Linked DNA regions of Lytechinus pictus. The protein of the gene in region 1 interacts with the protein of each later gene in a biochemical or structural test. Links are inferred from orthologs where the notes say so. Each region holds a gene or a part of one and is shown in the gene's direction. Other genes may lie near its edges.

Region 1 (7,403 bases):
TCGGAACACAGGAAGAATATTAAGAATGCTGTTAGAATGCAGCAAGAATATTTAGAATGCAGTCAGAGAGCAGTCAGAATGCACTTTGAATGTCGTTCGATATTTCTCCACTTCGGATGCACTTCGAAAGTTTTGAACATGAGCAAAACATTCGGGACGGTCACAAGAATGGACCCGAATGTCTGGAATGCACTCAGAATGCAGTCAGAATTTTTAGAATGCGCTTCGAATATCCAGGAATGTACCAAGAATTTTCATTCCGACGGCATTCCGGCTCATTCCGCCTCTAGTGTGACGGGGGTTTTACTCGAGCAACATATGGAATCTATGTCATAGGCCCTAGGCCTATAGCTGTCAAGCCCAGAAACCATAACATCTCAAGGTCGTCATACTCTAGTCTAGTCTCAATCTTCCAATTTCTCGCCTATCAATTTGTGTAGTTCTGAAAATGACTGTAAAACGGTATCAGGGGAGTGTTTCATCATGTCCATGGTTTCATCAATATTTTCACCGACAAGTTGTCAGATCTGACATCTTTCCATGATTTTGATTGGCTGGGAGGCACTGTTCCTATGGTAACTGTCGGATAAAACGTCCGACAAGTCCTTTCATGAAACGCCCCCCAGGACAACTACCCCCCGGACAATTACCCCCGGACAACTACCCCCGGACAATTACCCCCGGACAACTACCCCCCCGGACAATTACCCCCTAGACAAAGGGCAAATTTTTAAGTGCTCTGTTTAATGTCCGTTTTATGGTGTGAATATAACTTGCAGCTTGCGCTATGCGCTCGCATTATTTGATTTGCCAAATTATATAACAAACTACTTAAAACCCCCCTTTTATGACAGTTTACCAAAAATTTCGTCTCACGATTTGCGCTCGCATTTTTGTTAAAAATATATCAAGTCACAAATCCTATTCAAGATTACAAAAGTGCTTAAAATATCCAGTTTTCAGGCCTCAGTGTCAACACATTTTACTCACTCATTTAGGCTTATTACATTAATAAATATGATAATAACATTTTCATGAATTCTTAATGACTACATTGTCCCTTTTCAGAAAAGAATATCGACAATATCACAGTTTCATATGTTTCATATCGCGCTCAGGAAGAGGAATAAGAAAGTTGTCATCATTTTCATATGATGACGAAATGTCCTTAGACCTAGAATGTCCAGGTCCTAGGTCAAAATAATAATGAAGATATCAGCTCGCGCTTCACACTCGCATCATTTATTAAGTGCTTTCCACATCCACTTCACAATTTCCCTACACAATGCTTTAGATAGTACTCAAATTCACCATTTTCATACCGGAACATCAAGTATTTTCCGCTCGCGCTTCGCGCTCGCATTGCTTTTTCGATGAGATTAATATCTTGCTCAATATAGGCTGAAATGGAGCTTAAAATATCAAGTTTCGAAGTCAATACACATAACATATTTCATCTCGGATATCGAGCTTTCATTATTTTTAAATTTACAAATTGATTTTTCAAGTGCTCTGTAAAATGTCCGTTTTATGGTCTAAATATTAATATTTTCAGCTCACGCTGCTCGGTCGCATTATTTTATTTGCATAGGCCTACTTCTTTATAAATTCTTACAAACCGTCCTTAAAATGCACCTTAAACGAATTATATACTATCATGATTGCCAATTTGTATAGAAAAAACACTGTATTTGATTATGTCATATTGTTTACAATTTAGTAAATTTGGTACTTAATTTCCTTCTTTAATGTTTAATTGCTTTCACCCAAGAATAATACACACAAAAACATTTTGTAATTTACCAGGTGTTCTTGTGTGTATTATCTTTGCATAAAGTTTTTTAGCTTACTGTATTAAGTTATAAAGCCACATCTTAATCTGGAATGTGCACCAATTGTTTCATAATTCTTAACTTCTTGTTAGTTGAACTGTTTTAAAATAACAGATTTATAGGTCTACTTGACAGTGTTAGTGTTGATAGTTGTGTTATCGACTTTCAATATTTCTACCTATGAAGGTGTCTTTTTTACGTTTTATCTATTTGCCTGATTTCTTTCCTGAAATTAAACCCAAAATAAATATTTAAAAAAAATCAGATCAGTTGGAATCAGAGATATTCAGCATTTGTGATTATTATAACTAATCGTGTTCAATTGTTATATGAAAACTTAGAATGAGGGCCAGTTTACAAATTTTCTGATGTATATATGCATAGCCAAACGGGAGGTTTCGGGTGCGAGCCCCCCCCCCCCCCATTTTTCATGATGCAGAAGGCGCCGCTAAACAAAAACAAAAAAGGAAAAAAGAAGAAAGTGAGAGAACAGGAGAAAGAGCAATATAAAAGAGAAAGAAAAAGTTATTAACGTAAGGTAAAGTAGAAAATATTTCGGAAACCTGTGCCACCGACCAAAACTTACAATGGGTCCTGCTTAATTCTAAAATTGATGCTGGAGAGAAGGGGGGATTTTCTGAAGGTAATTGTCCGGGGGGTAGTTGTCCGGGGGGTAATTGTCCAGGGGGTAGTTGTCCGGGGGTAATTGTCCCGGGGGTAATTGTCCGGGGGTAGTTGTCCGGGGGGTAGTTGTCCGGGGGGTAGTTGTCCGGGGGTAGTTGTCCGGGGGGTAGTTGTCCGGGGGGGGGTAGTTGTCTGGGGGGTAGTTGTCCGGGGGGGGGGGGTAGTTGTCCGGGGAGGTAGTTGTCCGGGGGTACGTAGTTGTCCGGGGGTACGTAGTTGTCCGGGGGGTAGTTGTCCGGGGGTAATTGTCCGGGGGGTAATTGTCCTCGGGGGGTAGTTGTCCTCGGGGGGGGGGTAATTGTCCGGGGGGTAATTGTCCTCAGGGGGGAATTGTCCGGGGGGTAGTTTTCCGGGGGGTGATTGTCCAGGGGGTAGTTGTCCTAGAACCCTGTAAAACAGAAAAGGATAAAGAGTTAAAGAGGCTTGAGTTGTTGGATTATTGGATAAAATAATGTCGTCCGTGTATGTAAATGTACATAAATAAATGTTTCTGAAAGGATATTGCATGAAAAATGTAATTTCTGGTATTTTGAGTCAATATAAGCGTAATACGTAATTTAATTGATCAGACATGAAAACCACATTCCGAAGCGATCGTTTTGCGCGAAAGTTCTCATAAATTAATATTTAGTGAAATCTATGTTTAATTCTCAAGAAATTTATTTTTGAATGCTCTAATTATAGAAACGCAACTTTTATACTCCATTTTTACACAAAGTCGACCGTTGGGGGGGGTCCCACACCCTCTCCCGCTCGATCGCTTCGGTATCTCACGCTGTCAAAAATATTGTGCCCCCTTCCGAAGGGGGCACAATATTTTTGCCCCCCTAAAAGTGAAAGTGTTCCGGCACGCCTGATGCGTGGTAGCGCACATTTGGTGTTTACATTAAAATTCGTTTGGTAATATGTGATGAAGTGCTGTTCTACTCTACGAAATGGCCAAGATAAATCCTTTCATTACTCACTAATTGAAATCATTTTGGCATGACAATTGTTGAATTTAATCATATCAACGATAAAGCTGACCTAAAATGAATAAAAAATCTAAATAATATCTTATCAGTTCATAATGCTCATTCCGTCGATATATAGGAGTCCATTCAAGGCCAATGCATTATGACTGATATTAACTGGAAAGGCTCTGTCTTTTCCTTGTTGATGTAGCATATGTCATGATCTTTACCTCAGTCATTTTACCTCTGCCATTTTTACCTCTGCCATTATTACCTCTGCCATTTTACCTCTGCCATTTTTACCTCTGACAATATACCTCTGCCCCCCCCCCCGGGGGGGGGGGTACTCGACCAAAAAATTGGTAGGTGTGTGCCGCCGGCGAGACAAAAACCGGGGGCCTTGGAGCGGACTTATTGTAAAAAGGAGGGTCCTCGGAACGGGCTTTTGAACTACAAATGCTTGTGAAAACGGGGGTCCTTAATGGAACGGGTCATTTTTACCTATGCCATTTTTACCTCTGCCATTTATGCCTGGCACCAAGTTTTGAGGGGGCCATGCAGATATGGCGTATCGGGCAAAATGTATAAAAAGTTGCAAGTGAGCTAGCACAAATTTCGATATTTCAGTATTACAAATTATTATGATCGACTTTGACATTGGCCCTAAGTCAGAAAATATTTCACCCTTCCCTCTTTTTTTTTCTTGCATGGTCGTGTTTTTTTTTAACCCTAACCCTTCCCCTCCCCCTTAATCTCAACTGTACGCTAGCGTACTACTACATGATACATCTATTTTGAAAAGAAAACAAATATAGATGAACAAAGCAAGTTGAAACGAGTCGTTTCCAAGACTTGGCCGGATCATCCGGGCATTTTTTAGACCACGCGCATGCGCTCTGAAAAAAGTTCGATACTTAGCCATTTTTCTGCGATCCTCATCCGCCATAACGTGGAAATTGGTTAGACAAAGAATCACCAAAATGAGTTCGGTAAGTTCGCACATTTTACTCTATTTTGTGGTGTTAGTGTCATAGCGTGAATTGGAATATTAGTGTATGTGGATTGAGATGGTTTTTATGTGGAATCAGTGTGTTAATACGGCTGCCGCCTCTACATCACACATGTGTTAGTTTTTGTTCGAGGTCGAAAGGAACGCTTCGCCATTGAAATGCACACAGTTGTGCTTCGTACTTAGTTATTTTTGCGTTCGCCCTATATCATTGCACACAGGGCGATAAGCTCTCCGTACCGTACTTAGTAATTTTTTTGGCTTGCTCCATATGCTTTGTACATGAATGGCATGCGTGTGTATGGTGTGGTGTGTGCACGAAGTCGGCGGCTTGATCAACGTGACCGCTCTAATCTGTATGCCCGGTGTTTGGCCCATACGTCATTTGAGATGTTCCGCTTTTCACATGCTTTCTATGAACTGTACCAGTACCGGTACTGCACTGTGGAGTGGTGTGTGACGTAAATTTAAAGTGACATTCATGTCCAACTTGAAGATTTTAATTTGATGAATTCTAATGAATGTGAATAATATTTTTGAGTGCTGGTTGTGGTCTTCAAATATGAATGGTGAACCCATTACTGGCATTAGCATTACCATGTTGTTAAGTAAAAAACTTACCTTTTTTTAAAAGAAAGTCCTCAAATGAAATGGTGAAATTGAAAGAATTTAAAGATTTTATTTTATTTGTAACAGTTAAACAGTTCAAATTAAGTCTTCTTTTTACACTATTAAAGTTAGAATTTGGAGTCTTGGACTGGTAATGAATTAAGAATTGTTGACGTCTGATTGAAATCAATCACTGACCATTTTTTTTATGGAACAGATGTTGAGTTTGATTGTAAGTTTCTCAAATACATAGATCTATTCTACTACATGTACTACTACTAGATCTAGATCTGTCTTGTCAATTTCAAAATTTTTTTTTTTAATTTAAATATTATTTGCCTTTGCTTGATGGCTGATGTATTTTTTTTTTCCAATTATGGTTTTGTGACCTTAATTCGCGTGTTACAAATATACCTAATTTTGCGCACAGTCAAATATCTCAATATCTAATATCTTGAAAAACTGATATCAACAGCAACGGAAAGAGAGACCCAAAATCAGGGTTGGCAATTTTTTTTAATTAAAAAAAAAAATCAGATTTGTATGATTTAAATCAGATTTTTTTTTATTTAGGCCTACATAAAATAAGTCTAAATCAGATTTTTTTTTTTAACAATTTTTTTAAAAACAAAGTGCAAAAAATAAAAATACATTTCTAAAATCGTACATTTCACTACTAAAATTATTCTGAACTATTTAAAATTAAATCTAGTCAAAATAGATAAGAATATGTAAGTCGTAATGAAGATGCTGTTTTCAGCATCATCTCGTGTAGAGTATTTAGCTCCTACTGACTGGTAGTTGAGGAACCGTCTTCGTACAGCTATACTGCAAAGTTAGTGTTCCTATTCAAAACTCTTAACATGAAATGAGGATTAGTTTCTTTGGAAGAAACATTGCTACATTGCAAGATTAACTTCCATTTCATTTACTACTACTTGATTTCAAGTACGTAGATATGAAGGATTTATTCATGTTTTAATGATATAAAAAATCTGTCTATTTTGAGTAAAAAAAATCAAACTGGCACAAATAAAAAAAGTCATATCATTTGTACATGTTTCAATGGAAATCATGATTTAAAAATAAATAATTTCAACTTCTATCTGATACAAAATCTTACCTTTGTTCAGTTGATTTCTTTCTAAAGCTTTGCAAAACGATCATGCGCAAATTAAGGTCACACTTTTTTATGATAGTTTTTCAGCCGAGCGCATTAGTCGATCGCCATGGAATTTTCAGATCGCGATACCAGCAAAACCCTTGACCTACGGTACTTTATAATTCTGTCAAGTGAATTTGATCTTGCCTTCCATTTGGTATTTATTATTTTGATTAATTTTGTGTGAACTGAGAAATTTTTGATTGAAAATCAACTTTTTTAAATGTGCACAAATTATGGTTACCCTATCATATGTTTTATAATTTGGGGTTTTATTTTTAATTTATCTTTGACAAAACTGATAGAATTATAATTCATAAATTTGAATTATAACCTTAAATTTATAACCATTTGTTAGTCAGCAATCAACATGACTCACAATTAATTTCCAGAAAACCTTCACCTGAATTTTGTGGGGCCTGCATTCTTTTTATTTTTTTTTATTTTTTGCTAATTCCATGTATATTTGATATTTTTATTGTTTCCTTTGTTTTTATTTTCTTGTTACAGAAAGTGGACAAAATAAAGTCTGGTAAGTAAAAAAAGTATCATTTGTCCTTTGTTGATCATGAGAAAGTAACTTATAAATTATGAAATAAGACAATTTTATATACTGAATTTAAAATGATACCAATTTCATGACAATATATTTTGTTCATATGAGAACAAAACATGTGCATGTTTTTGCACATATATTATCTATGTTTAGCGTGTGCATGCTGTAAATTTTTATGGAGGCTAATTCCGTTATTATTTGTTGTAGAAGGTTGATCAAAGTATCAAATTGCTCAGAATTATCTTTTGATGCTTTGATCTGAAAAAAGTGGCAATTCTATGTTGTATAGTGCCGTTACGCACGCGCGCAATTTTTTGAAATGCTTAAAATGACATGATTCATACTCTACTTTGGTCAAAAAAGTGATTTTGAGCATTTTAAAATTTTGACGTGCGTGCATAACCTTTAAATGACCTTTGATGAAATGGACAGTTGACCCTTGACCTGAAGTTAATGTCATGAGAATATGGTTAATTTTTTATAATTGATAATGAAGATATGATTGATAATGTGATTTTACAAAATGGCATCATGATGACCTTTTGACCTTGAACTTGTTTTATAAACCTCACATGATAAGTCCCCATTACTGATGAAA
Region 2 (8,068 bases), about 49 Mb from region 1:
GTTATAAATCATGAGTTGGACTGTCTGATGCATATTGCGCTCTTTATGATTTAAGAAAAGTATTTCCTTTCTCATTTTGAATAAGTTTAATGAGTTAGTTTGAGCAAAGCTTAAGATTGACATGTTATTGTATTATTGACTTAATCAAAGTGCCGAGTGTGCAACACCCTTTTTATGTATCAAGCTTTCAAAAGATTGTTTGAAAACTCTGTTTCAGAGAGTGTAGCCCTAATCATTTCACAGGGATATGATAAAAGGTGATATCAGTGAGGGAAATGATAATAATTAATATTAATAAGAATGGGGTCTTTATGAATTTAATGTAATAGTATTTGTATATTTTGGACTAGTTGAATATTTATGTTTTCTATCTTCATGTTCAGTAATGATAATGAGACAACATGGCTGAGTATCCATTCAATAGATCTATGAGAGAGGTACATGGTTGTGCTTACTTTGGAAGCAGAGATTAATATGGGAACCTCCATAAATAAGAACTAAATAAATGGGGGGGGGGGGATTGTCATTCCTTGTTTCTTTTGAAAATGGTCCGTTGAACAATTTACTTTGGCTAGGATGCAGAAAATCAAAACACTCTCTTGAAATTTAGAAAAGAATCCATTGTGTTGGTGCCCAATTTTTGATTGTGGGTTTAGATTTGATTTCTGTTTGATATGCTTTCTTTAGGACCAGTCAATGCTTTTTAATTGAAAGATGATGAGTCTTTGGATGTATGATGCTGGTCTCACAGTGAGCCTCAATGTTGATGTTTTTATTTATTTATTAATTTTTGAGCATTTAATTTTAGTCCATGTAATACATGTCTATAATAACTAACATTATTTGATTGTCTTCACTATGAAGGAATTGTGAATAAAGGGGTAATGAATGTGCAAGTAATCGAAGTGTTCTTAAACGCTGTATCAAAATGCCATTGAGTGGAAAGATATTGAATATATATTGATGATATTATTACTAGTATTTTACATACATTATTTCCTTAAGTTGTAACAATAGCTGTATATAAGCAAAATTAATACATTATATTTATTGCAATAAAGTGCATAGAGAATTATCTTGCTTAATACAAATACTTGTCTATTTATCGTAGGTGCTATTAAACAAAATTTAGTTTTGCTAACTGAGCAATATTAGTTAAAATTTACATCTGTAGCATTTAATTTTATTGCAATATTGAATTTGATATTGTCACTTGATGTTATTGTTGCTTAATTGCTATCTGTATTGAGCAATCTGCAGTGATTTGCTTTATATGATACTTGTGTAAGATATATGATAGGATATTGTTGTGGCATAGTAATCCTTTCCAGCAAGTCAATGTATTCTTGTATCATTTGATTTCGTATTGCCAAATTCTGACCCTGTGCTTTCTTTCTGTTCCTTCTACTTTTGCATTTACTTATGATAGTAAAATAAAATTCATTTTAAATATTCTTTTACTTATCCTTCATACATATATTTGCTTTTTTTTGTTCTCATCATGCAACATCTTTATTAGATTTTCCCCTATATTTTTACTTCAAAATTATTTCTAAATATCTTGTGACTGACTATTCTTTGATCCTAAATCATTTTGATTTCATTTTATTTCCCCCATAAACATCACAGCCTACACTTTTATTTTTGATTTATCAAGTTTATTTATTTTATTAAGTGTAATACCCAGAGACATTCATCATTTTAAAAAAATATACACCTGTATTATTTAATGCTTCTTTTGTACATTTTGGTAGTATGAAATTCTAGGTGTAATTTTTACTTTCTTAACATTAAAACAGCTGTTTTAATGATATATTGTGCTGAACCATATTTGTATATGTTTATCAAAGTAGGCTGTTAACTTTTAATATCCAGGCATTTATGAATTATTTTCTTATATTGGCACAATCTATAAATATTTTCAATCAATTGTAGTGAGAAATATGCATGTATAGTACGCAATTTCTTTTCCAGGTCAATCATATATGTTGCGAGTGAAGAATATTTTAGATAATTGGTGATATGTCCTTTGTACAACTCTAATATACTTTGTTATATGAGAGTGAGAGAAATTCAATTTTTCTCCATTGACTGAAATTAATTCATTTTTTTATTATGAATAATTTAAGATTCATCAGCCTGACGGTGAGGTGTCATAAAGTGGATGTTTGCTTGATCTTATTTTGATTATTCCGGTGTTGCCATTTGGTTTTACCTCTGTTGTTGCATGTTTGACCCCCTACATATGGGACATTCTTGAAATTATTACATGTTTTCTAGTTTGAATTATAATGGTTTTAAGTGCAGTTAAAGAGGAAAACTGGATTATACAAAAAGGTTGATTTTTTTTTTCTTGAATTTCCAACATTTAGAAAATTGATTTTATCAAAGTGTACTAATAAAAAAGGCCTCATTTATTGCATCAGCATCTTTTAATCAGTGTTTTAAAGGAAAATAAAACACAAAATGTGTCATGATTAGGCGATGGAAACTTCAAAATTACTGCTTTTATGCAGATTGATAAAATTTAAACCCTCAGAGGCACTTTTATATTCTTTTTAATAAAAAAATGTAGCAAAAATAGAAATATACCAATTTCAAGAATTAAAAAATTAGTAATCTTGTTCTGAATGGGTCACTGATGATAACATAATAAAGTTTATAAATTGTTGCAGATGGCGTGTTCTTACATAGATTTATGATTGTTTTATCAATCACAAGGATGGAAAGCCAATTGAATGGCATGAATCTAGAATGCACATGTCAGTTCAAAGTGTTTTTAAATACTCATGCATGCATCGTTATGTGAAAAATCCTTGTGCTCTTCGTTGTTTTTAAAAGGACAGATGTACATGTACATTTCCTATATGAAATTGATGGATTATCCATATTTTTCACTACTTTTAGAATGCGGACAACCTGGGGCCCGTCTTACAAAGAGTTGCGATTGATCCGATCAATCACAACTATGGACGGCCAGCAACGTCAACATCTAAAATGCATGAACGTTCAAAATGTTTTCTACATATGACGTAAATTTACATAAATTAATTGTTTTATTGACAATTTGGTATGTTCGCCTTTGTTTACAAAAGGACATTTTGAAAATTTTATGTAGAAAAAATTATGACACTGAAGAATTTCCATAGAGTTACGATTGATTGGATCAATCGTAACTCTTTGTATGAAGGGGCCCTGATCTTACAGTTTGTATCGATTAGGTTCGAGACCAACAACCTTACTTTTATCACCTTTCTAGTAGTAAGAATATCATGCGTCTATTGAGCTTCAATACCTCATATTTCTGCAACTGAAAAAGTGGCTGCATTTGTAACAAACAGTTTCAAGAGTCACATTTTTTTTAAAGATATACTATTGGTAAACAACTTGTGCTGTAAGCTGACATATTCTGCCATAGTTCTTAATGGCTTAACAAAACAGATACAATGAGTTATGAATAAACTGAATTTATTGCAAGTAAAGGGTTGGTAAAAGGAAAATTGTCACTAATATATTGGAACTAAGGCTTTATATGAGAGTAAATGTTATTTTAAAAATGGTATGTTATCATTAGGCCTATGCCTACTGTTTGATATAAAAAGGTTGTCACAAAATGATGGAAAGAATAGGCAAAGAAAGTCTCCTGACTAGGCTCTTTTGGATTTTAGAATAAGGGAATTGTGGTCTTTATTATATTTCTAGGAAATTAATGCCTATTTTTCCACACTGATAGATTTAGAGCATACTAGATTGATATACTTTCTTTGGTTACTTTTACCTGAAAGTTGATGCTGTAGGTAACAGAATGGGATAACAATTATGTCAACTTCTCATTGAGAGTTGTAGTGAAAAGTAATCCCAATGAAGAGCTCTTTAAATGCCTGTCATATGAATATTCAGAATTTGTGCCTTTCTGAATAGATTGAAAGATGAACTGTATTAAAAAATGTTATATACATGGAAATAATCAACTTTTAATCATATGACTTAAACAATATTTTAATAGAAAAAAGTCTGAAAACAAAGTAATTTTCAGGGTTTTTTGTTCTTTTGCTTTTCTCCCTTTATTTTTTTAAAGGTCAAATCCACTCCAGAAAATGTTGCTTTAGGAAATAGAGAAAAATCAAACTTGCATAACGCTGAAAATTTCATCAAAATCGGATGTAAAATAAAAAAGTTATGACATTTTAAAGTTTCCCTTATTTTTCACAAAACAGCAATAGTATGCAAAACTCAGTGACATGCAAATGAGACAGACGATGATGTCCCTCACCATTTCTTTTGTTATTTGAATTATACAACATTTTTTCTCTTTTACAGATTTGACAATTGATTGTTTCACTGATTTGTCAATGAGGAGAAAATAAGAACATTTCAGATATCATATAATAAAAAACAAAAGAAATAGTGAGTGGATGACGTCATCAGTCTCCTCATTTGCATATACCAACCAGGATGTGCATACAACTGTTTTTTTAAATTAAGTGAAACTTTTTTTTTATGTCAAAACTTTCTTATTTTACATCTGATTTTGATGACGTTTGCTTAATGTTTGGCTATGCTTGTTGGCTTTTCTCTTTTTATTCAAATCAGCTTTTTGTTGTGGTGGATCATACATAAATGTTTAGTCTTCAAAAGTAGCAAAAGTGAGAGAAAAAGAGAGGTGCAGGAAGAGAGAGAGGGGGGGGGGAGACAGTAGGTCCATGATAAAACTATAAAGAATAAGGGGGAGGGGCTTTTTTGTACAATCCTGCTTATGATTTTTTTCACATATGTGCAGCTAATGAGGATTCAATTGTAGTGTTGAAAATACAATTAAAAAAAATATCATTAAAACAAATTTATTATATAGGGATAACTTAATGTGTATCGGAACAGATTGTTTCATTTCTAAATTTGAAAAATGTTTGTATTAATAGACTATTCTCGACTTAGACTTCGACTTCATGTAAACACAAACCCGAAGTTTTCCGAGCTTAGCTTCGGATCGTCCTTCGGATCACATCGGCTATATATCGATCAAAATCGCGGCGTCGTTGTTTAACGTTACCTTTTTTTTATGCAGAGAGCCCATTCACCAGTCGCGAGGACAAGGGTAATTCAATTCACAATTTGTCGATTTTTGTGTGCACTGTTTATAATATCGTTGATTTCGCATACATATTTGCGAATCAAAGTTGTACTTATTATTACTGACATGGATGGTGGTTGGATGGTGATGACGGTACATGTAATTTACATGTATTTAGTGTGTTCGATAATGTTGCAACCTGATTTGAAATGCCTGAACTCGCAGTGCAGTGCATGCACGCGCGCACAGCATTGTATACCGCGTGCCTTAATTGTGTGTGGATCGAGATTGGAGCTGAGACTTTACTGAGTGAGAGCGAGATTTTTGTTTTGAAGTAATCTTTGTCATTCATTCACATAAAATTCATACATAATCAAGAAAATATAAAACAAACTTGCAGCTGTGATTATACACAAATCAAATTACACTGTGAACATAGAATAGCAGACAAATTGTAATTGTATCAGATTCAGAAGTTGACAGAACCATGACATGAGAACAGGGGGCCGTTTGTATGTAAGTTAAGCATGTTAAGACTTAAGTCTAAGACTAAGAGCGTCTGTAACTTAATTTATGAACGACTGGTGATCCTTTTGTACGCACTAAAAACTATCGCCAATGAATATACCATAAGAAAGGATCACTAGTCATTCTTAAAGCCGCTCTTGTCTTACTCTTACGAACAGCTTCATGAAACGCCCACCAGAGATAATCCGAAATCATGCAAAAATAACATTTCAACAACTTATGTATGCAGCTAAAGCAATTTTAAAAAAAGATGTAACGTAACAGCTATGCAAACTGAAAGGACTGAAACTGAAATATAAAAAATAATATCCATTTGCACTTATTTGAGTTATATTTAAGATTTTCAGTTATATTTGAGTTTTGAACCTATTCGATGATGGCGAGAGTCAGCGTGCGCTAATTAAGATATTTCTGAAAACCACGAAATTACGAGAAGCTGAATATTTTGGGTTGAATCTGTTTTGCAATCGGATTTGACTAATGTGAGTTAGCGTGAGGCTACGGCTACAAATGTAGATCGTATGACTGTGTAGGCCCTAAGCTATTAGTAAATGACTATTATTTGAGTTATACAAGTCGGGCCTAGTTACGATCCCATTTAATGGTTGCGAGAGTATGTGTGTTTATTTTTTAGTTCCGATCGAATGAAATAAGATGCAATGAATTTGACCGAGGCGAGTGTAAGTGCGAGTCTACTATTACTAAAAGTCTAAAACCAGACAGGCCTACATCATTCAGCTCACGCACGTGCTGTCCTGTCTGGACGTGTCTGGACTGAATCGTCCGATATATATTTGGTCACATTACACTCGCTACACCTTCAAATGGGATCGTACTTGGAATATTTTCATTTTCATGTCGGGTTTCTCCCCATTCCCCAAATTATAGCCAAGCTTATCATTTCTCAACTTCTGAAACATAATCACACTTCTAACAAAGATTCAAGACAAGATTTAATTACAGTAACAGTAACTAATCACTTACATTCATCACCAGTAAGTTTTACTGCAAAACACGTCAATTCACAACCGACCACATACTCGGCGGGCACACATCATAAACCTTTCTGGCACGATACCGCCTTATAAGTATTGTTGTTTACGTGATGATGGATATCAAAATTTATAGTGGATATGCCATTTAAACTGAAATAAAGGAAAATGTGTGTTTTGTAATTTATATATTAAATATTAATTCATGAAAGATTTTCAATTGACAATTATCATTCTTTCATAATTCTCATCATTCATCGCTATCATCTTCACCAATCTTGATAATCATTTAAAATCATTTTCACTAGCCATCACTCATCATCGTCATTCATTTCAGTTTCACTCTCATTATCATTCATCACAAAGTCCGCCATTATCAAATCACAAAAACAACATGACACACGCAATCAACATTTATTCCACGTTTTCAACTTTTCATAGTTTCAAAAATAATCATCTTCATTTGTAACCAAAGTTGGTGTGAGAAAAAGCAGAATTCATTTTGCACTTGATGAATAAATTACAAGAAACAACATGACACACGCAATCAACATTCATTCGACGTTTTCAACTTTTCATAGTTTCAAAAATAATCATCTTCATTGGTAACCAAAGTTGCTATGAGAAAAAGTAGAATTCATTTTGCATTTGATGAATAAATTACAAGAAACAACATGACACACCCGATTTACACGATCAACATTTATTTGACGCTTAAATGGTTTCAAATTATCTGCATTCTTCACTCGCATTGAAAGTCGAGGTAAGAAAATATACGATGAGTTACGCATTTGAAATCATCAAAACATAAGACGGGGAAAGAAAAACGATCTTAAGCGACACCATAGTAAAATAGCCATCGTTGTCAGAACGGAACTTTACTCCATTCACGGACGGTCATGCTCCAAAACTGATATAAGGTCATGTTTCAAAACTGATATAAAAATGATGGTTTTCGGCGGGAATATATTACCGAAGAAGATTAATTGATATTGGTGATTATATTGGCGACTAAAACTTATAAATTTTGTTGGTGAGTCTTACTAAATTTAATGAGTTTTTGTGACAGGAAAGTGGTGAATCAGTGTCCACGGATACCCGAACCTGAAAAATGAAAACCGTTATCCGTCCACGCGGGCGGAAACCGTTCGGATATCCGTATGGTGGCAGCACTATATGAGATAGCGATCGATCTTGTAACAAGTTTGGAACTAAAATTAAAATAAAAATTTTAGTATTGAGATTGTCCCAGAAAACAATCAGTCAATAGATTTTGAATCATGTACGGTATGCATTTCATAACTTCTCGCAGGCATAAGCATAATTCAGAGTTAGACCCTTGGCCTAACTTTTTAGTAATATTGAGATTATATTAGCGAACATCTGATGTTAAGACGGATGACGGCGAAAAACGCCGCTTAACTAGATCTACAGCATCTATGGAAAAGGGTGCGTTTTTGCACCCTCCTCGCTCAGA

What was found.
Region 2: the proteins of DNA topoisomerase I, mitochondrial-like (region 1) and serine/arginine-rich splicing factor 1B-like form a complex in vitro, tested with the Homo sapiens proteins (2 studies listed by BioGRID, with this or other methods). The link is inferred for Lytechinus pictus from reciprocal best matches to the Homo sapiens genes TOP1 and SRSF1.

Annotation. Positions count from the first base shown.
Region 1 is NC_087246.1:63,390,047-63,397,449, forward strand, and holds the start of DNA topoisomerase I, mitochondrial-like, read left to right. Parts: upstream 1-4,332; 5' UTR 4,333-4,449; coding exon 4,450-4,458; intron 4,459-6,759; coding exon 6,760-6,781; intron 6,782-7,403. UniProt on the Homo sapiens protein: Releases the supercoiling and torsional tension of DNA introduced during the DNA replication and transcription by transiently cleaving and rejoining one strand of the DNA duplex.
Region 2 is NC_087246.1:14,835,531-14,843,598, reverse strand, and holds the start of serine/arginine-rich splicing factor 1B-like, read left to right. Parts: upstream 1-4,996; 5' UTR 4,997-5,095; intron 5,096-5,166; exon of another isoform or gene 5,167-5,587; intron 5,588-8,068. UniProt on the Homo sapiens protein: Plays a role in preventing exon skipping, ensuring the accuracy of splicing and regulating alternative splicing.